5 linked regions of the Ovis aries genome follow. The protein of the gene in region 3 purifies or fractionates together with the protein of the main gene of each other region. This does not show direct contact. Links are inferred from orthologs where the notes say so. Each region holds a gene or a part of one and is shown on either strand. Other genes may lie near its edges.

What was found.
Region 1: the proteins of CLK3 (region 3) and FKBP5 purify together in Homo sapiens (affinity purification with mass spectrometry; 3 studies listed by BioGRID and IntAct, counting the BioPlex papers as one, with this or other methods). This does not show direct contact. The link is inferred for Ovis aries from reciprocal best matches to the Homo sapiens genes CLK3 and FKBP5.
Region 2: the proteins of CLK3 (region 3) and GPATCH8 purify together in Homo sapiens (affinity purification with mass spectrometry; 3 studies listed by BioGRID and IntAct, counting the BioPlex papers as one, with this or other methods). This does not show direct contact. The link is inferred for Ovis aries from reciprocal best matches to the Homo sapiens genes CLK3 and GPATCH8.
Region 4: the proteins of CLK3 (region 3) and TNPO3 purify together in Homo sapiens (affinity purification with mass spectrometry; 4 studies listed by BioGRID and IntAct, counting the BioPlex papers as one, with this or other methods). This does not show direct contact. The link is inferred for Ovis aries from reciprocal best matches to the Homo sapiens genes CLK3 and TNPO3.
Region 5: the proteins of CLK3 (region 3) and PSME3IP1 purify together in Homo sapiens (affinity purification with mass spectrometry; 3 studies listed by BioGRID and IntAct, counting the BioPlex papers as one, with this or other methods). This does not show direct contact. The link is inferred for Ovis aries from reciprocal best matches to the Homo sapiens genes CLK3 and PSME3IP1.

Annotation. Positions count from the first base shown.
Region 1 is NC_056073.1:9,817,614-9,824,207, forward strand, and holds the start of FKBP5 (peptidyl-prolyl cis-trans isomerase FKBP5), read right to left. Parts: upstream 4,164-6,594; 5' UTR 4,054-4,163; intron 1-4,053. UniProt on the Homo sapiens protein: Immunophilin protein with PPIase and co-chaperone activities. Component of unligated steroid receptors heterocomplexes through interaction with heat-shock protein 90 (HSP90).
Region 2 is NC_056064.1:44,017,231-44,023,748, forward strand, and holds the start of GPATCH8 (G patch domain-containing protein 8), read right to left. Parts: upstream 4,429-6,518; 5' UTR 4,393-4,428; coding exon 4,348-4,392; intron 1-4,347.
Region 3 is NC_056071.1:31,715,688-31,721,723, forward strand, and holds part of CLK3 (dual specificity protein kinase CLK3), read right to left. Parts: intron 4,323-6,036; coding exon 4,226-4,322; intron 3,950-4,225; coding exon 3,883-3,949; intron 1,644-3,882; coding exon 1,527-1,643; intron 919-1,526; coding exon 752-918; intron 1-751. UniProt on the Homo sapiens protein: Dual specificity kinase acting on both serine/threonine and tyrosine-containing substrates. Phosphorylates serine- and arginine-rich (SR) proteins of the spliceosomal complex.
Region 4 is NC_056057.1:94,617,557-94,623,592, reverse strand, and holds part of TNPO3 (transportin-3), read left to right. Parts: intron 1-65; coding exon 66-160; intron 161-1,603; coding exon 1,604-1,760; intron 1,761-3,022; coding exon 3,023-3,190; intron 3,191-5,379; coding exon 5,380-5,492; intron 5,493-6,036. UniProt on the Homo sapiens protein: Importin, which transports target proteins into the nucleus. Specifically mediates the nuclear import of splicing factor serine/arginine (SR) proteins, such as RBM4, SFRS1 and SFRS2, by recognizing phosphorylated SR domains.
Region 5 is NC_056067.1:24,773,919-24,779,954, forward strand, and holds part of PSME3IP1 (PSME3-interacting protein), read right to left. Parts: intron 2,099-6,036; coding exon 1,969-2,098; intron 1-1,968. UniProt on the Homo sapiens protein: Promotes the association of the proteasome activator complex subunit PSME3 with the 20S proteasome and regulates its activity.

The sequences.
Region 1 (6,594 bases), on a different chromosome or scaffold from region 3:
ATCAATTTGAAATCCCCAACCCTGTTTTTGATAAACAGATGATCATTTTCAGGGGACTAGGAGTGGTTCTTCATTTAACATCACACATAAACTGCCAAGACTACAAACTGAACATTACAAATGGTTCCAAAAATTTACCATCGCCTGCTTTAGCAAAGGTTTGCAAACTACAAAAGGGAAAAAACCCCTCTTCTAGTCTTTGATCTTTCTCCATCTTTTATTTCTCCTTCCAAAAAATGAGCAATTTCAAGACCATACAACTCAAATGGACTGTATTTTTAATCTTAAAAAATATTCTTAGCATTCAGATGTTCCATAACTTCCACAGATGTGGAACTGTTTACTTAAAAACCCATTATTTCACTCTGAAAATACATATTTTTTATTTTTCTAGTAACTGTACGTTTTTCTAAAAAGAAAAACACAAACTTGATTAAGTGTTACAAAAATGACAGCAGTTCCAAAGAGCTACAATTCCCAACTTTCAATATCTTTTTGCCTGTTTTAGAGAGCTAAAATTTTATTCCTATTTTTTTTAAATGTTTCTCTTCCAGACCAAGAGTAGAAAATAGATTAAATCAAATGTGTAGACCCCATACTCCCTCTGGTGGTCCTTCACTCTTATTAACTAGCTGTTTTCCAAAAGGCTAGAACACTAAAATAAGCATAAAACCAACTTGCCCCATTTAAGGATTAAAGCCTTACATGTTTGAGTTTCAGCTGAATGCAGGTCAAGTCTCATCATGACAAAAATGAGGTACAAATAATTTGAGTGCTTGAATTTTAGTGTTTCAAATACTACTGAAATATCCTTAGGAACTTAGTTACGTCCACAAGGTCCTGCTATAAATTACTTTAACCTGTTTCATTTGGCAGAACTATCTTTTACACAATAAATAAGCATCTTTTTGCACCAAAAAAAAAAAAAAAACCCACTTAAGTGGCTACTGTTTTTAAATCAATAGTTATATGATTTACCTACCAACTTCCATCTAGTCTTGAATGACTGTAAATTTAATTTTCCTTAAACTTTTAATTTTCCTGGCATAATGTCAGAAGTTAAAAATGCATTAAAAAAATTTCAGAATATAAAATAATGAAAAACAAAATCTGATTACTAATCAGCTAGGTTAGAAAGTTCAAATAGTTTCAGAATTATAAAAAGTATAAATAATTTAATTGTTCAGCATAAAATAAGTACAGAATTCAGTATGCCAAAATATGTACAATATAGATTCTTTGTTAGGAATTGTGAAAAATATTAAAGGCCTACAGAAAATATTCTTAATAACAGATACAGCACGCATTTTACTGTTAAATAAACAAGTATTACTATCTAACAGTATCGTGTGATTTAGCCTCAAACGTAGCTTGTTTCACATGTGTCCCTGTTTTTCTGTAGCTTTGTTTAATCAAAAATATTTGCCCACCCCCAAATTCAAAAGGAGCCACACCTGAGGGTAAGTGACTTAAAAATACTCCCAACATTTATTACGTAGATGTAAGAATTCAACTTATATTTAATTTTGAAGCTATAATGTGGTTGACCATTTTACGATACGGTCTACCACAAGTTAAAAGTGGACAGAAATCAGTAATTGAAACATGTAAAAATTGAATTTGAAAACAGTATTTTAATTAAAAGGCACTTTTACAGTTAAAGTTCCCAAAACATGCTTTTGTAAATTAAACTATGAAATATAGCTTTAATTTATGGTATGTGATACATTTAAGCATCACAAGATAAAAACTATAAAACTTCTAATTATACACAATAGTTAGACTAATATACTCCTATACACTTAAAACAATTATATAGACCACCCATAACCCTAGTCTCATAAGATTCCTCAGAACTACTTATACAGAATAAAACTCACTCTGAACAAGTCACTGTTCAATCTACCTTCACTAAGCATCGAAAAGCCAACTCAGCTTTCAACAGTAATAATTTCTTCTACAACTATAGAAAGAGAATGTTCTTCCTTCTCTAGACTGATTGTTCTAAGCTAAGACTTTAGGAAACAAAACAACCGAAATATGTTCTTTTTCCAATGCAAGAATAAACAAAATTGAAGACTTCACTAGTTCCTAATCCAATATTTTAAAATGGTCATGTTTGAAAGACAAAGAACTCACAGCAGATAAGCCTGTTGTTTTCAAGAAAACAAAACAATTTTTATGAAAACTATCTTTGATTAAAAAAAAAAATCCCGAACAGTCACAACTAGCCTATCGGTTAGAGTGCACCTTTCAAAGGTGTTACTAATTAACATGTGACTAATAACCATTCAATGAAGCACTAATAAAGTAACATAATTAAATCAAAAGTGTAACTGTCCTTAAGAAGTTCCTTACATCTCTTATTCAAATCATATCCAGCACAGACATTTTAAAAAAAGACACATAAGAAGAAAAATCTGAGTTATCTAAACCTTCATAATATATTTTAGAATAATTATATATTATTTTTAAATTTTTTCTAAAATTGGTCAGGGCCATAACTGTAGATTTTAAGTGAGGTCAGCCGGGAGAGAGAGAGAAACAGAAAATAAGTGGAAGTATAACATAAAAACTTCCACAAGAATAAAAAGTTGTTCAACTCTACCCTCGAATTTTAAAATAAATACTCTTATGCGGGGCGGGGGGAGGGGGGAATGGGTGAAGGAGAATTCCCATAGACTATTAAAAATACTGAACCAAAATATGCCTCAACTTTTCCCTCGTCTATAATCTAACAAAACGAGAAGACAATGAAAATAAACACTCCTGTGTGCCCTCAGAGAGGCAAAGAAAGCTCCCATTCAAAGCTAAGCCGTATTCCACTCTTGTAAAGTAAATCCAAAACCACGAGCTCAAACTGCTTCATGCAGAATTTACTGAATGGCGGCCAAACGTTGTACACTCTGTCCTGAACCACAGCGAAGGATATCTCGAGCTCTGCATTCTCCATTTACAACTTGTACCTTACTATGCATGCTTTCACCACCACTGCAGAAACCGATTTTTAAACTAAGATGTTCCTCCCGGCCAAGTCAATGGAAAGAAGGCAATCTACCCGCTGGCGACACTCCCCACCTTCCCCACCCACCCCGCACCCCAAGCAATACTAGTTTTTGACTCCTATACTGCGGTCAGCACACCTTAAAAAAAAAAAAATCATTATGGGAGAAGGCGTTACAAAGCCCCCGGAGAACTGAATTACCGAACCCTGAAACAACTTTTCAGTGGCTCTCACCTGGCACTTGGGATAATCACCTGTTGGAACGGCGCTGCCCCGGTCCCCTCTTACCGGCAGTCGAGGGCGGGGAGGCCGTGTTCCCAGTCACTGGTCCCCCTCCCGGGGCGGCAGGTGAAAGACGGGGAACGCGTATATCCACACCCACCGCCCCGGGAGCGCAGACCGAAAGCCGGGGACCGCGGCTGCGGCGGGACGCTCCGTTATCCCTCCCCTCGGCGGGCCCGCCAGGTGAGCGAGGCTCCATCGCGGCCGCGATGCGTCCCGGCGCACGGCTCACCGCCGGCCCACTTCTCCCGCCGCCCGGGCCCGGGAGACCGAAGTTTCTCTCCCGCTCGCGGCGGCCGCGGCTCACGGGCCGCCTGGCTCTCGGGCGCCGGGCCGCGGGCGAGTCGGGGGCCGCCGAGACAGGAGCCGGAGCCGGGACCTGTTACCCAGGGCGGGAAACCAAAAAAAAAAAAAAAAGCCGAGTGAGGACCAGCGGGGCGCGACCGGCCTCGTCTTCCCAAGGGAGAGCGCGGCAGGGGCGGGGAGCCGCTCCCGCGGCCGCCCGGCTCCGCGCCTCCCGGAGGCGAAGGGAGCCCCGGCCCCGCTCGCCCGGCGGGGCGCAGAGGATTCCCGCGGGGGAGCCTGGGCGCCTCCAGCGCGCCCGCTCCGAGGCGTCTCGGCGCCGCCCGCCCCGCAGCGCGGTTCCCGGGCTGGGGCGCCGCGTGAGGAAGCGGCACAGCGGCGGCAGGACCGCGAAGGAGGGAACGCGGCTCCCGGGGCCGGGCGGCCACCCCGCCTCATCCCCCCCGTGGCCATGGCGCCGGTACCTGTCGCCGTGGCGGCTCGCCCGTTCTGTCGCTCTGCCTCAGCCGCGCGCCGCCAGCCCCTCAGCCCGCCCAGCAGGCCGCCAGCGCGCCGGACGCCGCCGCCGGAGACTGGCAGCGCCCGCGAAGCGGCCAGAGTCCCCCCGGGCAGCGCCCGGCGCAGTCCCGCCCCCGCGGGCCGCAGGACCCGCCTCCCATAGGGCCCCGGGGCTGTCAGTCCGCCCCAAAAGACGCGCGGGCTGTCGCTCCTCCTATCCCGATTGGCGGCCGAACGCCGTCCATGCAAATAAGGCCCCGCCCCCGGCCATTTGCACCTCCGCCTTGGTGTAACCTCCGCCTCCCCCACGCCAGCCCACGTGTCTGGCCCTTGCCCCTTTGTGGGCGCTGTAGGGAAGAGAGGGAGGAAACTGAACGACGCCCCCTCACTCCATCCCTTACCTCCGGGGAAACTAATGCCCAAGCAAGCTAGTGGACTTCACATTGGGACCTCTCTCTGACAGTTCTGCCCTCCTGTCCGCCCACCCGACCTGATTCGCGGAAGGAGAGGGGCAGGCCAGGCTTGTTTGCGTCAGGTAAGCAAGCTAGGTTAGCCCCGGGAAACAATACCAGGGGAACTGGTATTGTCCATTTGGAACTGGGGGGAAAAAATCCCATCTGGAGAAACCATAGCACGTAGCACTTGCCTCTGGACACTCAGGGACTGTTAAGACTAGGCTTTCCCTCCGTCTTCTACCTTTCAAACATGAGATCCCAGGTGACTGAGACAGCAGAGGATTTCTGTGTTTTCTTAAAAGATGTCTGTGTTCTCTGCCGCCTGCCAACGGGTAGGTCTGCTGAGCAGCTGGACTTCAGGAGGGGGCTCAGGGCCCCTGGAGTGTAATGGCCAAACCAAGATTGGGATGAAGGGGACTGAGCTAGCAGCTCCTGGGCCTTAGGGAGTGGCTCGCTCAATCTCATTCTTGAGGAAACAGGAACCTGAAGTCCCACAACTGTGGAGCTTAATAATCACCTATTGAAACCTAACATCTCCTAACTCCACATCTGGCCTCAACACTATATCACCTAGGGTCATTTAGGTATTTATGAAGAGTTTCTTCTGCAAATAACCATCCCTGCCTTCAAGAGGTGCCACCTGCAGAAACAACCACTAGAGCTGACGCTGAAACCTCCTCAGTGAGGGCAAAGGCCCTGCTTCAGGGCCTAGAAGCTTACCTTTTTACCAGATGCCAAAGAGTGTCACTGAAACAGTTTATTTGTGCATTAATTCTGCATACTAATGCCAATCGTTTAAGCATCTACTGTGATTTTAATGGGGCTTCTCAGGTGGCGTGCTAGTGGTAGAGAACCCACCTGCCAAGGCCCGACCGTCAAGAGTCACGGGTTCAGTCCCTGGGTTGGGAAGATCCCCTGGAGGAGGGCATGGCAACCCATTCCAGTATTCTTGCCTGGAGAATCCCCATGGACAGAGGAGCCTGGCAGGCCACAGTCCATAAGTTCTCTGAGACACAACTGAAGCGACTTAGCATACACCCACATGCTTTTTAACAGCCTGGAGTTAAGCACTGTGCTACGCGCACGGTATACTGAGGTGAGAGGACATTGTCCCAGACCTAAGAGACAGTGCCATCCACATTGCATGTCCGTGGGCCTCATGTTTCAGAGATTGTGACAAGATACCTGCATAGGAAGTGGCTATGCATAGACCAGTGGAGGACTCCCAGGAGCAGGGCAATCGGCTCTTCCTGGGGAGGGAGTCAGGGAAGGCCTCACTGAAGACGTGACACTAGATCTGAGTCCTAAAAGAGTATGAAGAGATGGTGTTTGCCAGACTGATGGATGTGGAAGAGGAAGAAAGGAAACTCGGAGTGGGGGAGGGGAGGGTGGGAAGAGAGGGAGGATAGCATGAGCAAGAAGAATGCAGACCTGGAAGAGCCTACTAACTGAGGGAACAGCAGGAACCGTGTGGTCAAATCTGCTGTGCCGTGTGGCCATGTCACATGGCCTGGGACCAGGCGGAGGAAGAGAGAGACACGGGAGGCTGCCAGGCTGTGTTGTAACACACCGCAGCAAACAACAACAGGCCCTGTAGATACAGCTGCAGGCTTTTTTTTTTTTTTCCTGGGCCAGAGTCTGTGGGGGAACAGTCAGTTCCGATGGCAGCCGGGCTGGCCCCACCCTCTCTCAGAAAACCACTCCGGTCACTGCACTTGCCCTCCTCAGCACTTGGAAACACGTGTGCTTTGCAATTTCCCTGAGCTTTGCTGCCCTTCAGAATTCGAAGATAACATGGGCCCCAGCTACAAACACCCGGGTGTGGGGTGAGCAACCCTCTCCTCAGGCACAGAGCGGTTTGCAAAACCTGTCACCATAGCAGGCCTCACTGGCCTGTGACCCGTGTTCCGATTAACACTTTGCTGTCGCTGTCTTGAAATTCTTAATAAGTTTTTAACAAGGGGCCCACATTTTTATTTTGCAGTTGGATAAATTGTCAGTCCCACCTGTCCCTGTCAATGCCCCTGGCCATGCTTGTGCTACTGCTCAAGC
Region 2 (6,518 bases), on a different chromosome or scaffold from region 3:
GCCTTTTGCCTTAAATATATATATACCCTGTACCCTTGAAATCACAACCAGGGAGACTTCCTTTATGTTGACCTTACTTTGGTCACTCTTAATCCCTTGAGAATACACTAACCAGTAATTGTGCATTTGCTAATAACTGTACCAATGCATGGTGAGTATATTGAAGTTTGTACAGCTTTGATTCCAGGCCTTTCCACCTATCATCATGTGTATGGGAATCGAAACAGTAATGATTTTGCGTAAGTTTCAACATCCTAAGCAAACCTGACAATGATTTTCATAGCCAGTGGTGTTTTTCAGAGGATAGGAAACAGAGGTTAGAACATTTGCCAATGTGTGATCTCTGGCATGTCTGCATTAGAACGCCAACTGTGTTACACAGTCCCACATAGAAAATATACTTCTATGACCTAAATATTTTAAAACTGTAAACCTCCTGACAATGGTCCCAATTAAGAATTATCTGAAAGTCACATCCTGGTGTCACATATGAAACACAAAAAACATACTACATAAAAGTAACACAGCTTATTGCTGTATACCACTATGATTACTATATACAGAAAGTTACAGAAAGTTCTTGGGTAATTTCTACACTTTTATTGTGACCTTTAAGATAGTTGTTTTTTTCATTACTTAATCACTTACTGATCTATTACTGTAGCTCCTTTTCATTAGAAATCTCAAGCAGAATGCATTCAGAACGAGAGGAAATGAGAAACTACTTGAAATCACCAGTCCTCTGCAAGCACACAAGCTGAAGAACATTTCCTCACTAACATTCAGCTGCATCATCATTAATAGCTGCGCAACCACTAAATGCTAAGCAGTGTGTAAATATACCTCATTGCTGTACATCACAGTGCAAAAAATGCTTTCTTTAGTGAACTTGGAATTCAAAGTGTTGAAAATGTATCTACATTTGTTTGGGAACGCATGTAAGAATTAAAGATATTAAAATTTATAAAATAAAAAAATAAAAAATTTAAAAAAAAATTAAAAAAAAATAAAAAAATTAAAAAAAAAGAAACTATTAAAAAAAATGTATCTACATTTGTAAATTATACCATGCTATTTTCCACTAGTTTCTGTAACATTTCAATCTGTGAACAAATATGCCTTAATCTGGTAAATGTAGGCAGAAGTCACGTCTCATTCAGAAATTGAGGTCAGATTCTTAAAGAAGTAGTTAAAACTCTTAAAGCATTTAAAAAATAAATACATCAGCCCAAACCACAAAGATTTCCAAAAGATAAAACACCACTTAAAGGGGGTATTTTTAAATAATGTCAGAACTAAGACAAGAGTTAACAATATATCCTCTATGACAAAGGGTAACATCACTGTCAGAAGCCTTCCTAGAAGCCCTTGGGAGACCAACAAGAAACAGATATGGACAAAATGCAACAGAGTAGAAACTGTAATTGTATCACCTCTCTGAAAGCTCATTTATTCTTTGTGACCTATAAGTTTATCCTCCATATTTGATGACTCAGTTACAGTTATATAAAATATACAATTGCCAGTAAAGTTATTGGTCATGAGTACAGGTTCAAAAGTCAAAAAGCAGGAGTCTAAATCCTGGTTCTGCCATTACCAGCTGCGGATACTTGGTCAAGTTATTTAACTATCTGTACCTGAGCTTCCTCATTTGAAAGTAAGAGTAACACTACGCACCTCATAGAGTTATTGGAAGATTAGGAGACAACACATGTAAAGTCCACAGAACAGTACCTGTTTATTATTAAAATGAAGTTATCAAATGTTTTCAAACATTTCCCTGATATTAATGATTACTCTTTATATTCATAAGCGCTTCAAGTAATATGCCAATTAGGCTCTTCTCTATATTATATAAAACACATTTGAAACTTTTAAGTGTTCACAAAATCTAATAGTGAAGCCTCCTCTGACTTATACTAAATTCAAGAGACAATCCTTAAACTCCCCAAAATTTGCACCTAATGGTAAATTGGTAAAGAGTGAAATTCTACAATTCTAAATTCCCTTGCCAAATTAAAGGCGAGAAAATGATAGTCATCTAGAACTTACCAGAGAAGGTGCACAGAAAAATTTCCACTGCTAGAGATCTGTTTAAAGAAACAGGATCTATGTACTGTATCTGGAAACCTACTTTGGATTTGTTTTCAAGTGCACTCAGTAGCTTCACCTCATTTATCACTTAAAGCCTTAAAAGGCCAAGTTAACTTTGAATAACCTGACCTTGAACAATGTTTCAGATATGCTATATGCAGGAGGTTCCTAGGGCATTTTCTCTCCAATAACTTTAAATCAAATGACATCATTAATGAAAATTCAACTACATTTTCCCCTTTATTGAAACACTCAGAAAAAATAGTACTTAAAATATTTTAAAATGATTTTAAAAAATGTTAGCACAATAATTTACAGAAGTTCTAACATCCTGTAATTGTCTAATAGGTTTTCATTACTAATATCCTATTTACCCATAATGCTGGGACATCTGAATCTTAAAAACCAACATTTACCTCGCTGACACAATACAACAGAAATTGGCTATACCAATATAGAAGCAGTAGGTAAAATATATGTAATATCTTCAAAGGCCTACCAAGCAACCAAAAGCATATCGTATATACACAACTAAAGCATGAGAAGAGAAAGTCATTTAACTTGAAAAAGGAGAAGCTTTCCTAAATTTATTCAGGTGACTGCATTCATTTTCTGTTCTCCAGTTTTCAAATCTTTTAAGGTCCTGAAAATCCTGCCTGTTCAACACTGCTGAAATCCTGTGGTTAACATTTTCCCACAATACTTATTTGTCCGTATTATCTATTTTCAATTTTAAGTGACCTTCAAATTCTCTCTGAAAAGCACTAGAAGATTTTAATTATTAACATGTCTCCTTAAAAACTACCAATAAAACCCCCACATCTTGCAGCCTACTCTTATTTTATGGTGCTCCCTAAAAAAAAAAAAACAAAAAATCTCACCTTTCCCAAGGATCAAATAGCTAGTAAGAAAAAAGAAAAAAAAAAAAAAAAAAGCTAATAAGAACTGCTTTAAAATTCCCAGGACCTGCATTCCATCTTTAAACACCTTGAGATCCTGTACTGTGCTGCAGCTATTCAGCAGGCGCATGATCACAAGGCTTTTCAACAGCCTTAGGATCGTCTACTGTTGCGAAACTTCTCTTCAGAGGTCTAGGTACTAGATTGTTACATTGTTGCCTTCACTGCTTTACCTGTTTAGTTACCAACCCAAACATCCAGCAGAATTCAAACTCTTCAACTACCTTCCTAAACCTATCTAGAGTATTCCCATGTAACTTTGAGAAAGAGCTGCAGCGGGATAATAACTTGAGTTCGGACGTTCATCCCTTGAACCAAACTGCTGTTGCCAGGGTCTGCGGTAGTAATGCAGGGGTTTCTTTGAGACTAAGGACGTCATTTACCCTAGAAATAGCCCATCTCTACTAAATCCCTTCTAGTCGCTGAGATTTCTGCGGTAACAATGCTCAACAGGAAGGTACTCGAAACAGCCGAAAGACGTGTTGTTCTAATTTGGCCTTAATTTTTTCCTCAATCATGCTAGCCTCGGCAAGGGCATTTTTCCATACAACGTTTGCAACTGAAAAAAGAAAAATCAAGCTGTTGGTAGCAGTCACCACCTGCTTGTAAAGTCCATTATCGTGATGCTTTTTACAAATCTCTCAAGGTAGCATTTGGGGTTAAGCTTACATCGACCATCCTCCTGTAACTTACTGTTTTCCAAGCCCATTTAACGACGTAATGACAACAGCAACATTTACGCTCAGGGAAATCTCAATGTTTGACTACCATGGAGGCGTCTGATAACTAAAGCCCCCCTTTTCCGGGTGAGGAAATGGAAAAATAGACAATGAAAGCGATTTGTTACAGTGAGCAAAGAGGGAGAAGGATCCCATGAAGAGATGTGCGAGCAAAATCCAGGGGTTTAGGAGCCCCAGTCTCAGCAACACTCGAACCAAAACCTCCCACCCCACCCCACCCCCCGCTTTCCCCTGGGAGCCAGCCCAGCGCCCGCACACGCTGGGCACACCCGAGGGCAGCACAGCCACCCCACCCAGCGGCCAGGCTGGGGCTCCCAAACCCGCAGACCAAGCAGGACGAGGCCGCAAACCCAGCGGTCCGTAAGATACAGAGTGAGAGAAGATGCGGCCTCGCCTCAAACCCGGAGGCCCCTAGAGGAATCGGAGGCGGGAGAAAAGGGACCAGGTTCGGAAGCCACAGCAGAGCCCCGAGCGAAAGAAAACTGGGAGTGGGGGATGAGGAGGTTCTGGTTCGGCCAGCGCCTTCCCCGGACCTCGGCGACGCCCGTGTTTACCTGAAAGTCTCGGTCCTCGTTGAAGCGGGAGAAGCGGTCCGCCATTTTGCCGCCTTCACTCCTCTCAGGACGACACTCTCCGGTTCGCTCCTTCCCTCCCGCGACACCCGCCCCCTCGCTCTCCTTCTGTGCTCCCCGCCTCCTCCCACGCCCACCCGCGCGCGCAGGCGAGGGAGGGAGGAAGCGAGAATGCGTATCCCGACCAGAGCCCCGACGGCGCAGGCGCCTTTCTATCCTGGAGGCGGAACCTTCCCTCGCGTCTCGGCTTCGCGCGCGACCCAAAGCGACCCCGGCGCCGCGCGTGCGTACTCGCGCTAGAGGGCCGCAAGCGCTTCCGGAGAGAAAGGTCATGAGGGGACGCTGAGCGCCTGGATCCGGATGTTTTCCTTCAGCTCGCTTGTGTTAGTGGGTTATCTCTTTTTGTCCGCTCGTTTGCCTGAATACACAGAAGCCGACCCTCTGCTTTCTTCACCAAATAACAACATAATGTAGTGGTCGAAAGCGCAGATTTTGGAGCCAGACTTATTAGTTTAGAATCCTGGTTTACCTTGAAGATTAGTCGTCGGACGAGACAGCAAATATCCCTTCTCTCACAAGGCCTACATTCCAGTGGGGAAAATGAGATAAATAATAAAATAATTACATAATTTTAAAAATTAACTAGTACTAGGGGAAAAAAAAACACAAACAGGGTGATGAGAGCAATGACCTCCGAAACGACCTTTGATCCAAGAAGCAGCAAGGGGCATGCTGCTTTGGGACCGAGAGAACCTTTAGACCCAAAGGGCCAAAGACTGCTAATAACGTGGCATTTTCAAGCGATCGCTTGAGAGTATTTCTCAAGAGACCACAGTTGATCCAAATAAACTACAGCTCTCTGGACTTCAGTTTCCTTTTTAAAAATAAGGAAATTAGGGTGCTTGGGGCTGATGCACTGGGATGACCCAGAGAGATGGGATGGGGAGGAAGGTGGGAGGGGGGTTAGGATGGGGAATGCATGTATACCCGTGGCTGATTCATGGCAGTGTATGGCAAAACCACTACAATATTGTAATTAGCCTCCAATTAAAATGAATAAATTTACTTTAAAAATTAGGAAATTGAATTCGGTAATCTCTACTGCCCCTGCTTAGCACTGACTTTGTACGGTTTATGAATCAGATTTTTCCATCCTTTGACCTTCCTGAGCACCACACCTAGCCCTCCAGCCCCCTTAGCCAAAATACATAAAACAGGAGAGGTGGCAGGACTTTTAAAAGAAGAGTGTGATGTGCGAAGTCGCTTTAGTTTTGTGCAGCTCTGTGCAACCCTGTGGACTGTAGCCTGTCAAGCTGCTATGCCCATGAGATTCTCCAGGCAGGAATACAGGACTGGGTTGCCAGTACCCTCCTGCAGGGGATCTTCGACCCAGGATAGAACCCACATCTCTAACTTCTCTTGCATTGGCAGGCCGGGTCTTTACCACTAGTGCCACCTTGAAAAGTAGTTGACAGAAATCACACGTTGGATAAATGGCTCTTACCCTACCCTTAGAGAGTCAAATGTTTTGAGAATGTGTATATCTTCTATTCCCTTGTTGTTACCCTCTGCCTCACTTTACCCCCAGTCCAAGCAGAATACAGTGCTAAGCAGTGAAAAGAGCTCCCTATTTAAGGAGAGGCAGAACACACATAATTGAAACATTAAGAAGACCCTTCAGGGTAAATAGGGTAGAATGAATTCCATGCAGTCACAAGACACATTTACCTCTTCTCCCTCTGCCAGCCCCACTGAAATGACAGTTAAAAGGATGAGAAGGGAATAAACTCCCATGAACAAACAGATCTGAAGAAGGGACATAGCAAACAAGTGATGTCAACAACATTTGGAAGCTGGAGAGAATAGATAAATGGAAATGGCTTAAGCAAAATGGAGAAAACAAAGTCCTGGAGTAGGGAAGCCAGGAAACAAACTTACTTGAGGCTAAGGTGTAGCAGAGAAGCTCAAGAATTGGAATTGCCAGGTACCACTGAAGGTGAGGGTATAAATGGGGTTGAACACAAGAGGACTGGTTACAAAGCAGTTCAGGGAGCAGTTAGACTGTAAATCCCTTTCCCACCCAGGTAACAACTGGAGGGTTCTTCTCTGAAAATGCTGAACCACTGAGGCTTCATGTGATAGCAAAGGAGGGA
Region 3 (6,036 bases):
GCCTTTCTCCCCTCATCCCCGAGCAGGGGGACGTCTGCCTTTTCCCTCCAACCCTGTCCCACCGATGGTTGTACCCTGCCATTCATCACTTTTTCCATCTGGCACTCGACCCCCCCGACAGTGTAGCCCGTCTCTCTTTACATGGGCCCTCTCTTCACCACAGTGAGCTGCAGCACATGCCAGGCTCTGTGCCAGCGCTGGGTGGCTCACCTGGCTTGGAACGCTCTCCCCAGTCCCGCCATCTATGCAGACCCTGCTAGTCTAGCTCTAGGTCTAGCCACCTTCTCTCCAGTGAGCCTTTCCAACCTGTTTCAACCACTACAAATCCTGCAGCACTGAGCACAGGTACCACCTTAAGAGACTGGCGGACAGACGGGAAATGATGGTGAGACATGGTGTCTGTGTGACAGGATCTGTGGGTGGGATCTACCAGGTCAGTCTGCGACCTCTTCATCTTATGCAGGAAGGTAGGCATGGGGATGGTACGGGGCTAATCCTAGAGCAGCTCTCTCCCTTCTCTTCCGGAGAGCCTGGGGTCAGAGGCCAGCTCCGCAGGCCCCTGGAGGGGACTGCAGCCTCTCCGTCGTCACAGATTCCTACTTGGAGGCCTTTCAACCAAAGGGGCCCTAGTGTCTCGGGCCCAGCAGAACAGTCAGCAATGTGTTGGAGCACCTGATGGGAGGGCAGGGCCACCAGGTGCCTCTGCTGCAGACAGGAGGCTCCCCCTGCTCCACTTGAGGTGGGAACTTACATCTAAGGGCGTGGCAGAGCTGGTAGGCCATGTGCCGGACATGTGGTAGAGGGTAAGGCTGGAAGTTATTCTCCTTTAGGAACTCAAAGGTGTTCTTGCCCAGGAGCTCAAAGGCGATGCACATGTGACCGTGGAAGTTGAACCAGTCAGACATCAAGACGCACAGGCTGGAGAAGGACGGATGGGGCTCAGGGTCTGTGCTGGGGGCTGGCTGCCCACCTGCTTCCTCAGGTGAAGACAGTCCCCACTCCCTCCCAGGATGCTGGGTCACAGACAGGATGCAGATTCACAAAGAGAAAACTATGGGCACAGTCCCTGCTCTCAGAGAGAGATGGCATAACCAGGCCACTCCACAGGACAAGTGCCCTCTGCCGAGCTTCCTGAGTCTGCAGGGCTCAGCACAGTGCTTAGCGGAGGGGAACGCTCCGTGTCTGTGTGCTCCTTCGGATATCTCTGACTACATGAGCACCCTGAACAGTTTTGGGTTTATATCTTGTCTAATGCCCACCACAACCCAGTGAAGCCTCTAATTCACAAATGCAGGGCAAGGAGGCCACCTCAGAACAGAGAGCTGGTTGCAGTGGAGCTTAGACTGAAACCCAGATGTTCCTTCCAGCAAGACTCACTCACCGGACTCCCCTTGCTCTGGCTGTTGGGAGAAGGCATGGTGCCAACCCGGCAAAAGACACTGCTCAGTCCCAGTGGGTCTGGGCCACTGGACCGGACACACACTGACCCCTAGGAAGCTTCCCACCCATTTCCTGCCGACACTCACAACTTGTTCTCTTTGTCCTTCTCCTTGATCTTCTTGAGAACGTTGATTTCTAGCCGGGCGGCCTCCCGGTACTTGCCTACGTTGCGGATGATCTTCAGGGCAACCTGAGACTTCCCTCTGGACCGGGGAAGGAAGCAGCAGTCCTCATGAAAAGGTATGCAGCCCTTCCCCCACCCTCCACCCCAACCCAGCGACTCCTGGCAAATGCTACTTAGGACTCCAGGAACAAGGCTGCCCTGAAGACAGCAGACTCTTGATGCCCAGCCTGCCCCACACAACTCCAGACCTCTACCTGTGCAATACGAAGCTGCTGTTGACAACCGTGCCAGTCTTAGGTTTTTATGATCTCAGCTGCTGCCAGCCCCTGGGTGGAGTGGGCAGAGGAGCAGAGCCCTATCCTGCTGACCAGCACCAGCCCTAGAGCTTGCTCAGTTACCTGACCTGGAGTCCAGTCAGTCCTGACCCTGGCTAGGCCACCCACTCAGAACCCTCTGCTGCACCTGCTGACTTTCCTGAACACATCACCAACTCTACACAAACTGCTCCTCCTGGGCTTCCAGGAGGGAGTGAGAGCCTGGCAGGAGGGAAAGGTGCCAGCAGAGGCTCTTCCCCTCACTGAACCCCAGGACCGATCCCTCAGTGAACCTCTTGGCCCCACCTGCCTCAATACCAGCCATGGCATTTGTCAGAGACCCTGAGTGCCAGGAACCCTTATTTAGTGTCCAATGAGGATTTTAATAACTCCTGCTCCACACCTCCCACCTTACCCCCAGAACTACCCCTGTATGCCACGAGCAGGTGCCCAGCAGAGAATGACTGGGGCGGTTAGGCTACCAGGCGCAACACTCTCAGGAAGGGAGAGCCAGTGCTCATATGCCCAGTGGGAAACCAGAGTGATAAGCCCTGGCCCACAAGGGTGTGGCCTAAGGCCTCTGGGAAGCTGGCCTTGGTGCCAGAAAGGTTCACAGGTCGAAGGGCAGAGGCATTTTCTAGAACACCGTGCATTTTTCTCATCCCATTTTTCCAGATTTTCAGGGTAGGAAAGGACCTCAGAGGAAAAGCCGTAACTCCAGACTCCTGGAACAGCATCCCTTAATAGCATTCCGACCCTTGAGACGAGCTCATCACTTCCACACAGCTACTGCCAGAGTTGGGCGGCCCTTCCTTATGTGGAACTGAATTCTGCCTTCTCACAACAAGCCCACTGGCCAACTCCCTCTGGACTCGCTAAAGGTTCCCTGAACTCTGGGCCTGCCCTTTAGTGACTTCAAAGACTCGCTTCCCATCTGGCTGCTCAGAGTGACAGCACAGAGAGCCCCAGGCGGCACAGCTCTCAGATCTGCCACCTCTACCACTGTATACTCTACATGTCCCTAACTTCTTGGGCCACAAGGGGTCTGAAGGGTGTTTAAATGGGAACTGGGTGCCCAGGGAGGCTTCGTTGGTAATAATCACCACCTTAAATTGGGGTCACATGGCGGGCTGAATTGCTAGGTTTAACTGTCCTTTCCAGGCACCCCTCAACATGGAAGCGCCAAGTACAGCAGTACCCAGGCTCCTCCATTCGAGAGCTGGGGGATACAGGCGGACCCTGAGCATATTTCTTCATCCCTAAAATCATACAAGAGTCACGTACAGGCAACACGTGGCTCAAATGAGACAGCAAGGACACAAGCACTTTCTGGCCAAAGTGCCACACCAAAGAGAGGCCATTTAAGGCTCAAAGGCAGTGGGTTCGCAGGCGGCAGCCTCCCAGCCTAAGGGAGAGGAGGCAAGGGTTCTGGTCTCAAGGAATGGCAAGGGACAAAAAAATTTTTCACTCTTCAGTCTATAAGGGGGCAAGGGACCCCCAGCAGGATCCCAACTCACACAGGTGTACCCCTGCTCTACCCGAGCACACTCTAGCCACGCTGCAGAAAGCAGCAGCCCACTTGGTGAGAAAGCCCAGGGTCTTGCTCCTCTCAATGGGGGCCTGCATGACCTCTCAGGCAGACCTCCAGACGGTGGAGGCTCATGCTTGAGTTGGACTCAGCAGTATGCCCAAACCCCTGCCAGGCCCCTAAAAAGAGCTCATAGGAAGCAGATCCAGACCATGGAGGGGCCAGGGTTTTGCCCTGTTCTGATCACCACAGCCCTGAGGAAGTGGGGAAACTGGAACAGCACCATTCAGTGACCAACAGTTCTTAGGCAGAGATGCCACACGCCCAGGAATCCCAGGAATTTCTCCCTATTTTAGGGGATCAGCAAAAACCCAACATGCACAGGAGTTTGGTGCTACTCTTCAGAGAGAAAAAGGTTAAGCTCTGCCACCACCTTCAAGAACCTCGGGCCAGCTCTTCCCAGGAAGAGAGCTCACCTGGCATGGTCCAAGCACTCCACCACCTTGCCAAAGGTGCCTTCACCCAGGTTCCCCACGATCTCATCTAGGAGAGAAAAGAAACAGGGCATGAGAGCCTGGAGGACGGAGGGCTGGCAGCTCCTGCAAGTTCACAGCATTCAAATTCTCAAAAACATAAAAGGTTTCTTTCTCACTGCTACACTCTTAAAAACAGAAGTTGCTAGAGTCTGTGTCATTCAGGCAATTACTGGTGGCCCCTCTAAGGCACCACGCGCAATAGCGGCCCCTCGGGCAGGAGAGGTCTCGTCTAACAAGGGGGATAGAAAGTAGAGAGGTAAAGTTTTACGAAAGGTGGCTGTACATCGCTCTTGGAGCCAATCGCCGATCCGGCACACCAGGTGGCCCTCCTTGTCATCTTCCACACTCCGGCTGCTGCGCTTACTGCTCTGTTGGCTTCTCTGCATGCACCGCCCCCCGAAACGCCATCCGACCAATCGCATGGTAGGCGGTTCCGATTGACAGATTGAGGTGTCAGTCAAAGGCAGAGGTGGAGACGGTGAGGAGCCGGTGGGTTGGTTGATTGGATTTTCCAGATCCCAGCATTTCATAAGGCACACAGCATATATAACGATAGGGATATTGCAAGGGACACGTCAAGACACAAACTGACTTCAAAAACAGAAAAGTAAAAACAGCTACAGGTATGTAAAGAAAACTCGGACATTATCTAAAAGAAAGGCGCCGCAAATGCTCAGAAAGACGCCCAGCCTCTGCCGCTAAGGGGCCGGGCCATGTGGAGAGTCGCAGGCCTGACTCCCTCCTCCACTGAGTCTCCCCCTCCCGGCCCTCCCGTGTCGGCTTCAGCCAGGGTGAAGACGCAGTGAGAAGGGTGCAAGAAGACGGCGGGCCGAGCCTTGGTCAGATCATCCAGAACGGTCAGAGGCCACTCTGGTTCAGCTGCAGAATGCCCAGTCTGTCTGCCCACGCGGTCCTGCACACACCCGACAGCTGCCACCTGCCCCTAGACAGCATCTGTGGCCAGACTCAGCATCACCAGCAGAACCAGCCTTCCGTCGGCAGCCCTTGCACCACCAGCCTCGAGCAGAGAAGGAGCGCTGGATCCTCTGGGCCGGCCTACTCTCCAAGGCCTACCACCACAACGGCCCACACAGGCCCCAAGCCAGCTCCTGCCCTGGCCTTGGCACCGAGGCGACTCACAGGCCAGACCCAACTTGAGCCTCATGACAACAAAGGGCACCAAAAAGAGAAGAAGCAGAGCCACACACCTGTGGCAGTGTGCAGAGAGGGCACCAGGCCATGCCGTGTGCCCAGTCAACCCTCAACCCACGGCCACTCAGAGAAGTCACGGGAAAGCTCGGCAGAGAGACACCTGGCCCCCCTCCACTGCGGCACCACCACTCCTCGGGGCCTCGAGGCCGGGAGCCAGGGAGCCAAGGCAGAGGGCTGGGAAGGGAAGACAAGACGGCATATACCCTCCAAGACACAAACTGGCCTTCCTTCCCAGAGAGCTGAGCGCAGAGCAGGATCCTGGTCTCAGCAGAGATCTGTACAACACTCCGCAAGAAGAATGCTTCCAGGCCCTGCTCTGGGCGTGTGACCTGCAACTGGACACGGCCTGGAGCTGGGGCCTTTCTGCCCCGCCCCACAGGCAGCTCATCCCCCTCGCCTTGACTGCCCCTCACATGAAGAGGCTAGACTGAAGAGGGCAAGCCTGAAGGTCAGAGGGCAGGTCCCAGTCCAAGCTCACTGACGGACGGACCCAGCCCTCCACCCATGGGCACTCCAGCCTCCAGGCCTCTGGTGAGGGGTGTGGAGAGGAGACTGCAGAGGTGGATGCAGTCCACGCCAGTTAGAGCACTCAGCTGTGTGGCGGGGCAATCTCTGGGTGGGAAGGACCAGGTCAAACAGCTCCAGACCACATACCAGCAACCCTATTAAGGATCCTGAAGAAGTGACCCTGGCCACTCACACACGTGGCCTGTGCCTGGAGCAGTGTGGAGACAGGGAGGCCAGAGGCCAGCCAGCGCCGGAACCAGAACCCCTAAGTTGCCATTGCCAGTGGGCCAGAAGACAGAGGAGCTGGGCCCCTGTTCAGCCCTGCAACTGGACCAGACAACACATACACACACACACACACCAAACGCGCGTGCA
Region 4 (6,036 bases), on a different chromosome or scaffold from region 3:
TTAGCAAGTCTGAATCCCATGGCATTTATTTACAAGCATTTGTTTTAAAATCATTTCTGTTTTAGGCATTGTGCGTCCCCACCTTTCAGCTCTTAGAACAGCAGAATGGACTCCAGAATCACCCTGACACAGTGGATGACCTATTCAGGCTAGCCACGAGGTCAGTCCTTCTGAAAAGCAACCTTTTATTTTATCAGTCATCCTCATCATTGCTTGGTCTTGTCACCTAACACTTACCTGTTTCCTTCTCTGTAAAATGAGGTAAGAGAAGTAGGTAGAGTAATTATTCATAATCCAAAGTTAAATCGTGAACCAGAGTATTGCCATAAATGAAGAAGAGTTGGATAAGCACAAGGGGAAATAACTGAGCTCCTTTCATAAAGGAGGGAACACACCCAAGACAATAAAAATGAGTTTTGCAAGAACATTTGACTAGACAGTCTCTAGAATCCTGTGTGGTTTTAATGTTTTATGCTATTGTGATATCATGCTTGACTTTAACTTTTTCTTGAGAAGTGTAGCATCCTTAAAATATAATCTTATCTCAGAATAAAAATTTTTTAGACTTTTAAGGTACTTTAAAAATTATCTGATACTGTACTTCCCATCTCTGCTCTTAGCCTACCACCCTATTTGTTGCTTAAATTCCTTTTACTAGTAACACTGACATTTGTATTCATTCTTAGTCCCTAGCTCAGGAATTTGATCCAAATCAGTTGGTAATGAACACTTTTTTTGATTCATTTTTGGACAAGTTAGAAAACCCTTTTTATTTATTTATTTATTTATTGAGTTGGTATGAGAAAACTGTTGGGTGGGCCGTCAACCTGTTTTCCTTGTGTGTTTCTTGAAAAATTAATCTCAAGAGATTCTCTTTGCACAAATCATTGCCTGGTAAAATAAATTTGGAATGTTATTTTACTTTTTCTTGGAGATTTTCTATGAACATTAGAGAATCTGAGAAAATTGTATAGAGTTCCCATATACCCTTAGCTTCCCCCCTCCTTCCTTCACAGCCTACCTTGCTATCAGCATCCCCCACCAGAGTGGCCCATTTATTAAAATTAATGAACTTCCATTGACACATCATTTTTAAAGTACTTACTTTACATTAGGATTCTGTCTTGGTGGTGGTCTTCCTGTTGTTTAGTCGCTAAGCCATGTCTGACTCTTTGCGACCCCATGGACCATAGCCCACCAGGCTCCTCTGTCCATGGGATTTTCCAGGCAAGAATACTGGAGTGGGTTGCCATTCCCTTCTCCAGGGGTCTTTCCAACCCAGGGGTCTTTCCAACCCAGGGGTCAAATCTGTGTCTCCTACATTGCAGGCCAGTTCTCTACCATTGAGCCACCAGGGAAGCCAAGGTCTTTCTATGGGTTTGAACAAATGTATGACATATATCCACCATTGCAGCATCATAGAGAATAGTTTTAGTACTGTCAGTATCCCCTATGTTTTACCTATTCATGTTCCTACCCTCCACTCTGTCAATCCCTAACAACCATTGATCTTTTTACTGTCTCCATAGTTTTGCCTTTTACCCTGGTTACATTTTTATAGCCTAATTTTGTAATTTTTACCTTGCCTATCTTTACATACCAGGTTTATTCAGCGTAGCCCTGTTACCTTGCTGAGAAGCCAAGTTGTCATCCCGATCTTACAGTGGGCCATTGCCTCTACTACCCTGGACCACCGGGATGCCAATTGTAGTGTCATGAGGTTCCTACGAGACCTCATCCATACAGGGGTAGCCAATGATGTAAGTATAAACAAGGTATTAAATAGTTTTTCTACTTGTAGCTCATTATCACCTCATATATCATTCCTTATGGAAAAAGAAATATCTCATTTGATCTGTGTTGGTAGGTATATTCCATAGTGGATTATTCACTAACCAAAATATCAACTAGTAGATTTAAGACAACCTATACTACATGTTGTAAGCTGTATCAACTAGTCTAAACTGTCTCTGCTTCCAAGCCATTTGGTGTCTAATTGAAGAGAGAAATAGAGTTGTAAAGAACTAAACAACAGCAGCAAGGCAATATTTGATTGTCAGATAAGTGATAAAAGTTGTGATTGCTTTGAGATCAGAGGAGGGAAAACTCTTTGGAAAGAAGTAGGTTGGGATGACTTTCTGGACTAGGAGGGACCACAGTGGAGCCGTTTGGATGGATTGGAGGAAAATCTAAATGGGTATATAAATCATAATCAGAAAGGACTAAGTTTGTTAGTAGATACTTCAGAGACCTTTTTGGCTGGAGGTAAAGTGGTTCACAGAATTTTCAAACGTAGATTTGACTAGATGTGGAGTAGAGTTGAAAGTAAGGGAGAACAGTGAAGAAGTATGTGATAGACTAATTGAAGAGTTTTGACAGTAAAAAAAGAGAGGGAATGAAGGTAAATAGCTAGAAGTGAAAGGCACTTTAAAAGGTTTTTTTTTTCCAACGTATTAGAAATATGTATATTCAAAGACTAAAAGGAAGAAAATAAGTAAGATCTTTTTTTTAATTTATTATTTTTGTGGCCACCCACAGCATGTGGGATCTTAGTTCCTTGACCAAGGATCAAACCCAACCCCCAGCAATGAAAGTGCAGGATCTTAACCCTGGATCCCCAGGGAAGTTCCTAAGTAAGATTTTTTTTGATAGAGAAGGTTAGATATTTGATAGAAGTCTTCTTTTTTCAGTTGCTTTTTAAAAAAGGAAATAGGAATAGTTTATCTTTTACCAGAATAAAAGGTTAAAAGGATCGCTACTCTTAATCTCTAACCATTGTTTCTCCTCTGTGTTCTATTCTTGAAAAACCTAAGGGTTAAGGTTAATCTCAACTGAAGCCCTTACCCGTTTCCTTGAAACTAAACTCTTAATGTTTTCTTCCTTGTGACAGACAGTGCACCTTGTGAGTCCAGCTATTATATGTACTTTCTTCTCTGAGAAAGAAAATTACTAAAGGGGAAAGAGTACTTGCCCTTCAGAAAGTTGAAATTAGCACTTTCCTGTTGTTCCTGTTTTCTTACAGCATGAAGAAGACTTTGAATTACGGAAAGAACTAATTGGACAGGTGATGAACCAGCTTGGACAGCAGCTTGTAAGCCAGCTGCTTCACACATGCTGCTTCTGCCTCCCCCCGTATACCCTACCGGATGTGGCCGAAGTGCTCTGGGAGATCATGCAGGTTGACAGACCGGTAAGATTGTTTGCATAAGGAACCCACTTTCAGTCTTGGACAGTTTCTTGAGAGGCTGACTCTAACTTTGAAACTAGTCCTATTGTATGCTCTTGGTGGTATGTCTTACATTGCTATGTTTAATTGTTAAATGAAGGAGCCAGTAGAAGGATTCTAGAGAATATGTCTGTGTCACTGTAAGAATCTAATACAGTAGTATTTTTGTTTTTCTAAAAAATACTCTTTGAGCCATTGCAGAGTGACAAGTTTATTCCAAACATCATTGATAATAGAAATAAAATTTCTGTACTCTTACTTTTTAATAGATATACTTGGTTTCCAGGTAACAAAAACCTTATTATATACATCTAACTTTACAAAAAACGTTGGATTTGTAAGCCTTTATTATCTCTTATCTTTCTGATCATGACCTTTCTAACAGGCCTTAAGATGATATGTCTTTATAGTTTTAATTTGCATTCCCATTATGATTGGTGACACTGAGCATTTTTTATGTATCTGTTGGCCTTTCATGTATCTTCTTTCAAGAAACGTTTGTTGAGGTCCTTTGCCCATTTTTTAACTGGGTTATTTGTTTTCTTGCTAGACTTCTGTGGGTTGGTTCTCTATGTATTTTAGATACTAACCTCTTTACCAGGTATACGGCTTACAAATACATGTTTTTTCCCTTTCCTTAGGTTTTCTTTTTACTTTGTTGATGGTTTCTGTGCGGAAGCTTTTAAGTTTGATGTAGTTTCCTCTGTTTATTTTGCTGCTTGTGCTTTAGGTGTCGTTGCCAAAAAATCATTACCAAGACCTATGTCACAGTACTTTAGGCCTTTGTATTCTTCAAGGAGTTTGATGATTTCAGGTCTGTGTTTAGTCTTTAACCTGTTTTGAGCTACTTTTTGTGAGTGGTGAAAGGTAAGAGTCTAGTTTCTTTGTTTTACATGCAAATATTCAACTATCCCAGCACTGTTTATTGAGAAGGCTGTCTTTCCTACACTGGATATTCTCATCTCCTTTGTCCTATATTAGTTGACAGTATACAATTTAGTTTCTTACTGTTTTTATTTTCAGGGGATACTATGGTTAACTTATGGGTCATTTTGGATGCCAAAATGTTGTCAGTTAAGAGTTCGTTCTCCCTGTTTGCCTCTTCTTGTTTCTGTCTGAGTGGTGTGTTGTCTTCCTTGGAGGTAACACTTGGAGAATTCGGTGGTGCTTCCAAGCATTTCTAGTGGAATGTTACTTTTGGTCTAGTCTGTGGTGATCATGTGCTTAGTCACTCAGTCTGTGTCCGACTTTTTGCGACCCCATGGACTGTAGTCCACAGGTGCCTGTGTCCATGGGATTCTCCAGGCAAGAATACTGGAGTGGGTTGCCATTTCCTTCTCCAGGGGGTCTTCCTGACCCAAGAGCTCGAACCTACATCTCTTGTGTCTCCTGCTTTGGCAGGCAGATTCTTTTCCACTGTGTTCCCTTGGAAATCCCATTGTGATCATAAATTAACATAGTGGAAAAATACATAATGTAAAAAATGTAGGTATAAAAAAGTTCTTTTCAGCTAAAAACTATGAACAAAGCATACATCCTACTTAAAGACATGAAGAAAAATTAGAGCCAAAAAAGAAAACAAAAAGAGCAACAAAAAAGAATTTTCTTAACCTAAAGACTAGGCAGTTATCACAAAGGAACTGACTGGATGTGACTTCTACTGAGAGAAATGACCTTAAAATCCTTAAGATTCTGGATTCATATTTGTATATACACTTTTTAAAATGTTTACTTGTTATACTTTTTGACCCTGCTCTTTCTAGTACCTGAACTTTTGCTTTGGGTTGCCCTTGATCTCCAAGCTCAAGAGATTTTTGGCAGCAGTCTGATTTTTAAAATATTGCATGTTTAATGATAGAAACAGAATAATAACTTCATCCAGAAGAGACTTTACTTCCAAGGTAGAAGGGCTCCACCTGAAATGATGTCTGCTGCCCCCTTGAAGGGAGCCTGGGCATGCCTTTATAGGCTGTTCCAACCCTCAGTAGGTTGGAAGGCCAAAAATAGTACTTCTGTTAACTCCTTTATTTACTTCCAAGTCTGGAACGCTAATGCTACTAAGGAAAACTTGTGGGTTTTTGTTATTACCTGTAGGGTCTCAATTGAGTAAGCCCTGCCTCCCTTTAAAATGCTTATCCTTCTTCTCTGTACAGACTTTTTGTCGATGGTTAGAGAATTCTTTGAAAGGTTTGCCAAAGGAGACAACAGGGGGAGCCGTCACAGTGACACACAAACAACTTACAGATTTCCACAAACAAGTCACTAGGTGAGTGATAAACAGCAGCTGGCCTATGTAGGAAGAATGTCTTTGTTTCTTACATCATCTTAGTTACAAATACACCCAGTAATATTTTTGTGTGTATACCTTTATAAATTAAAATTTTATGTCTTCTTAATGCTTGAATTGCACAAATTGGTGTTGGAAACCAATCTATGGGGAAATATCACCATGTATGCCTACTTTATTGTTCATATGTATCAAACATATCCTAATAGGTAAGTGGAAGCATTATGTCTTCCAGCAGAACAACAGTGCCTTGAACAGCTCACTATCCTTCAGGAAATCTGTATCTTTTTAAAGTCCTTCCCAGCCCTTATCCATATTCAGGGGTCAAGAATGCAGGTGTCTGACTAGGTGAAGCAGTGGTTGTAAAATAGTTTGGAGTGATGCAGACTGATTGGGAAGTTTTTGCCATGCCTAATTTAGAAGATAAGCAAGTTCTAATTTAATGCAGGCCAAACGAAACCTCTCTCTGGGACACATTAGTCCCATGAGCCACTTGCTTACAGCCTAGTTAAAATGTTAAGTA
Region 5 (6,036 bases), on a different chromosome or scaffold from region 3:
CCAGGAGAATCATTTACTACCTTGCTGCACAAAACAACAATGAAGGATATCTAATAAAAGGTGGTATATAAGGACTAGGAGGGGCTTCCCTGGTGGCTCAGATAGTAAAGACCTGGGTTTGATCCTAGGTTGGGAAGATCCCCTGGAGGAAGGTATGGAAACCCATGTCAGTATTCTTGCCTGGAAAATCCCCATGGACAGAGGAGTCTGGCGGGTACAGCCTATGGGGTCGCAAAGAGCCCGACACAGCTGAGCGAATAAGCACAGCACAGCACAAGGACTAGGAGAGATACTTACAACACCCATTCTGCTAGAAGCAAGGAACTAGAGACACTGATGGACTACCTAGAGACCCCCCTCTTGGTGCAGCCCAATACAACCCACCCAAGTCCGAATCCCCAAGGATACTGGACCCGGCAAGCAACTTTATATGAAAAGTTGAAAGGAAAAAAATCCATGGCTTGGGTAACTGGCCCTTTTCAGGCCTCTGATAGGCCTCCCCTTTGCTGCTATGCCATGATGACATTTTTACATGTAAAAAATGTTGCGAGCAATATTTCCAGGAAATTGTTCCAGCATTCAGTGTTTTACAAACCACAAAACTCCATCAAAGCACTTTCTTCAAAACATGTGGCTGGCTGCCAAAATACCATATTGATTTTCCTAACAGACTACACTTCAGCTTAGTATCATTTTGCTTTTAGTAGAGTTGGTCAAATTGAAATGACCAAATTTAATCACTTTGGTGTCATTTCAGGGTTTGAAAGGGAACAAACAACAGAGAACTTACCAAAACCTCTAGGAAGTGCTGCCACCCCACATCAAACAAGCAGAGTTCCAGCCAGGTGTGTAACCCTGTCCCAGCTGCCACCTTCTTACGGACCTCAGGGCCTTTGACCCAGCTCTTCTCCCAGCCTGGGATGTTCCGCTCTCCTTGTCTGCCTATTAAAGCCCTCACAGTCCTATAATCAGTTGCCTTTCTAATGCCTTCCTTAACTTCCCCAACACAAGTCACATATACCCACTCCAGGCAGTTATTTCTCCTCCCTGCTCTCATTCAGTTCATTTCAGTCGCTCAGTCATGTCCGACTCTGCGACCCCGTGAATCGCAGCATGCCAGGCCTCCTCCCTGTCCATCACCAACTCCCAGAGTTCACTCAAATTCAGGTCCATCGAGTTGGTGATGCCATCCAGCCATCCCATCCTCTGTCGTCCCCTTCTCTTTCTGCCCCCAATCCCTCCCAGCATCAGAGTCTTTTCCAATGAGTCAAGTGTTCGCATGAGGTGGCCAAAGTATTGGAGTTTCAGCTTTAGCATCAGTCCTTCCAATGAACACCCAGGACTGATCTCCTTTAGGATGGACTGGTTGGACCTCCTTGCAGTCCAAGGGACTCTCAAGAGTCTTCTCCAACACCAAATTCAAAAGCATCAATTCTTTGGTGCTCAGTTTTCTTCACAGTCCAACTCTCACATCCATACATGACCACTGGAAAAACCAGTCTTGACTAGATGGACCTTTGTTGGCAAAGTAATGTCTCTGCTTTTTAATATGCTATCCTCCCTGCTCTCATTACACCCTACATAAATCCTTCCACAGAACTTGCTACCTTGTTTGCCTAGAAACACAGATGCTCAAATGTTGAATTCCACCTCTCCTGTTACTTTTTGACTTTGGACAAAGGTTCTCAACCTCTGAGATTCTCAGTCTCTGTACTTCATAGAGGAATAAAATATCACCAGCACCGAAAGTACTTAAGTGTCTAATGAAGAGTGGTTATTATGTTGAATGAACAGAGACACCAAGGTCAAAGGTGTCAGAAAACACCAAATCTGACAGGGGAGCAAGGGAGGGCCACAAGGAACTTCACCAAGCCCTGTGCTTAGGTAACTCTGTTCTGACTACCATTACTCTGGCATCTTGGGGCACACAGTCAGAGGGAGATTAAAGTCGTGTGAATGCAGGCTGACCTCTTATGCTTCACAGCTCCTGCCAACAGCTTTGCCTGGGAGAACTTGTTCTTGGTTTCTATGGGTTTCACAGCTTTCTTCTCCACTTCCTTCTTGTTTTCTGAAGAAATTCCAACCTTGTTGAGATTACTGTGAGTTACAGGTTAAGGATCAAACTAAGTAAAAAGAAGAGCTATAGCAAGACAGTGATAAATCAAGACGAGCACTTCAGCTCTGCCATGGAATGTTTGGCCTACTTATTTAAAAAATGCCCTCCCCAGACTTTTCTTTCAGTCCAGTGTTTAGGACTCCATGTTTCCACTGCAGGGGGATAGATTCAATCCCTGGTTGGGGAACTAAGATTCCACATGCCAAGAAGCACTGCCAAAGGAAAAAAAAAAAGCCCCCCACCTTTATTCTGCCAGTCAAATCCAGCTGATTTAAAGAGAAATGAAGATGACTAGGAGGAAGATCTTTGGACACCTCATGCAAAGAGTTGACTCACTGGAAAAGACTCTGATGCTGGGAGAGATTGGGGGCAGGAGGAGAAGGGGACGACAGAGGATGAGATGGCTGGATGGCATCACGGACTCGATGGACATGAGTCTGAGTGAACTCCAGGAGATGGTAATGGACAGGGAGGCCTGGTGTGCTGCGATTCATGGGGTCGCAAAGAGTCGGACACGACTGAGCGACTGAACTGAACTGAGGAGGAAGATGGCAAAGCAAGCCCAAAATAATACAGAGAAGCAATGTTTCTCCCTTTGATTCCCAAAGAAAATCCTGAGGATGACCAGAACACGTGCTATTACCAAAAACATGGCCAATATCATACTTGTTGGGGAAAACGAAGATCCTGAAGAATCCAACAGAAAAAAGTGTAGCTCCCCTGAATGCAGAAAAATTATTTGATTTCCCTCTAAGGATAAAATAAAATTTTGCAGAGTGTCCTATGACTATTAGTAGCATTCAGCTTTAGATATTATGAAGACTAACTCCTATTCTGTGGATGTAAGACATCAGAATCATCTTAAGGCTCATTTAAAAAACAGGGTCCCTCCCCTGTCCCAAACCTACTTACTGAATGAGGACTTCCAAAGGCCCAGGAACCTGTATTAAACACTCTGAGGGTGATTTTAATGAGAAACCCCTGTGCATAGACAATACAACACAAGGACTGAAAAGCTGTTTAAAAGCATAAAACCACCAGTTCATTTGTTACATACTGTTTTCAAGTTTGATGTCAATCTATGGCTCCCAAGGTTTGTCGATTTCTTTTGTTCTCTTCACCAACTGCCTCCTCTCCTTCCCTTTCATGCTCTCTCACAACGTATTAGTCAATAAATAAGTACTGGAACATGGTGCAATTCCTTACTTGAGATGAGGTGGTGCCTTGCTGGAACAACAGCGACATCTAGTGCTCAAGATATCCAAGACGTATGTATTATCAGCCCAGAGGAGTGGAGGTGGGACTACACGGTCTAAGCTATTCCTGTATGTTTGAACAATGGAAAAACTGGGTACCAGAAATTAGGAAATTTTAATTTCTAATTCTAGTGTCTAATTTTCAGGGGCTCAATTCTTGTGGGAACCAGTTATCTTAAACATTTGTAATATTCAATAGGGATTATACTTTATACTCAGCATTATTCTGAGTTTCATTTATATTTGATGTTTTTAAGGTAATCATGGAAACTGATATGTTAATACTAAATGTTCATTTTTTTTTAAGAATAAAAATGAAATAGAAATTTCATCTTTTTAGTACAGAATATCAAAATCCATGCGCATGCTGTGATTTTTACCTACAACTCCACCATAAAGGATAGAAACTTTCAAGTACAACAGAAAAAATTTAACAAAATCACACATTTATAATACCAAGACAAAGACAAAAACCAACATTTAACTTTTTATTCTTCTTAAGTGAAGAAAAGCTCTCAACCTCTTTTTTGGTGGGCAGGTAGGGAGGTGTTAATATTTTTGATCCACATCCAAGGCCCAAGTCCTTTTTCCCCCTTAAGACCCTCTCCCCCTAAAATGTTTTAAATATACAAATACATTTCAAAGTCTCAAGGAATAGACTACACGAAGCAGTTTTTAAAAGGTCACATCGTATTTGAACACACATATTAATAAATACTGTTCTAACCTAAAGAAAACAAAAGTTCTGTTTATACTGGCACAAACTGCAGCTTACTTGTATTCACAAGTATCACATTATGAAATATATCTTATACCAACCAAGCAAAACCAAGAACCATCTCCTGATTTAGAGCTTTAATAAACAGATGTCTAAACCTCAATTCCTACCTCAACATGTCTCTGGCTACATGCATGCTTGGGATTAGCACATTATACATCAGTGGGTTGGAAGGCTTTGTTTCAGTTTTTCTAGACAGAACTTTCCAAGTCTCCAATAAAAGCCACTAATTACCCTGGAGCCTCCTCAGTGTTGTACTGCAATGTTATCAGGACAGAAAAGTTTCTTTTGCCTCACGGCTGCCCTGTTCATCCTTCCCTTTGAACTGAAAACCCAAGGGCCTCTCATACTCATACCACACCACCAATACTCTCCAGCATGTGGCCTTGGGAGACACTGTCTTATTTGCTTGCCTGCCAAATTAAGCAAAAACAAGATGTAATTCAAGTGAAAATGTATTTTTTCCTTAGAGGTAAAAGCTGGATGCCTGAAACAACGCAGTACATATACCTGCCCATCTCTGCAAACATCAATGCATAATACCATCCTGGGGTCATGACACAATAGAGTTGGGGAGGGAAGCTTCAGAAGAATCAACCTCAATTCTACAGTTGGGATGGAGGTGTGATTTTTCTATCATAACATTTTTCTATCAAGTTCTATCTTAGTGTTATACCAGAATTCCACTTGGAAAACAGAGACTGGAAGCCATGTCTTTCACTACCTGTTCAGAGCACGTTTTGTGGCAGCATGTTGCTACCTTATCTCAACCACCGTCAGTCACCTTGTCTTTAACCAAATTCCTGGCAATCTGTTCACATTTTCTCCTACATAACTCTTTAATGGGACCCACTGCACACACACTGCAAAAAAAAAAATACCAACTAGTGCATACACACTGGAGAAGGCAATGGCACCCCACTCCAGTACTCTTGTCTGGTAGGCTGCAGTCCATGGGGTCGCTAAGAGTCAGATACGACTGAGCAACTTCACTTTCACTTTTCACTTTCATGCATTGGAGAAGGAAATGGCAATCCACTCCGGTGTTCTTGCCTAGGGATGGGGGAGCCTGGTGGGCTGCCATCTACGGCGTCGCACAGAGTCGGACACGACTGAAGCGACTTAGCAGCAGCAGCAGCAGTGCATACACAGTCATAGCAACAATTTTAGAGGTAAAAAAGGCTGTTACCACACTAGTGAGGTTATTCAACATATAAGCTTGAAATACTCAAATAAGCTTTCTCACAGGAGGAAGTCGCTAAGGTGGCCTTTTTAACCTCTTCTATGAGTCATTCATTAATTTCTTCACACATATACTAAGAACCTACTATATACCAAGCACTGGAGAAATCAGTGGTGATCAAGTCTTTGTTCTTATGGTGCTTACTTTATATTCCAGCACTAAAGAGGCAAACAAACCTGTAAGTATATAAATTAAGATTTTCAGGTAGTGACATACTATTTTTAAAAATGACATGATAGTCAGTGATGGGGGTGGCTGCAACTTTAGATGGAGTGCTTAGGGAAGATCTCTGAGGAAGGGAGCTGAGACCCAAGTGTCATGAAATGCAAGCCCTGTAAAATCTGAGGGCAGAGCATTCCAGGCTGAGGAAATAGCAAATACAAATGCCTTGAAATGGAATCACAGAGCTCAGTATGAGAAGAACATAAAGACGGGCAGTAAGCTGGAGTGTGGTAAACAAGAACAAGAGTAGTTCAAGATACAACAGGGAGGTGAGTTGGCCTAAATCATGCAGACCCTTGTAGGGCCTGATTAAGAATGCAGATTTTAAGTCTAAATGCAACAGGAAGCCACTAGTGTTTGAAACAGGAAAGTTATATGATCCCACATGTTTTCAAAAGTTCCCCAGACTATCGTCTAGAGA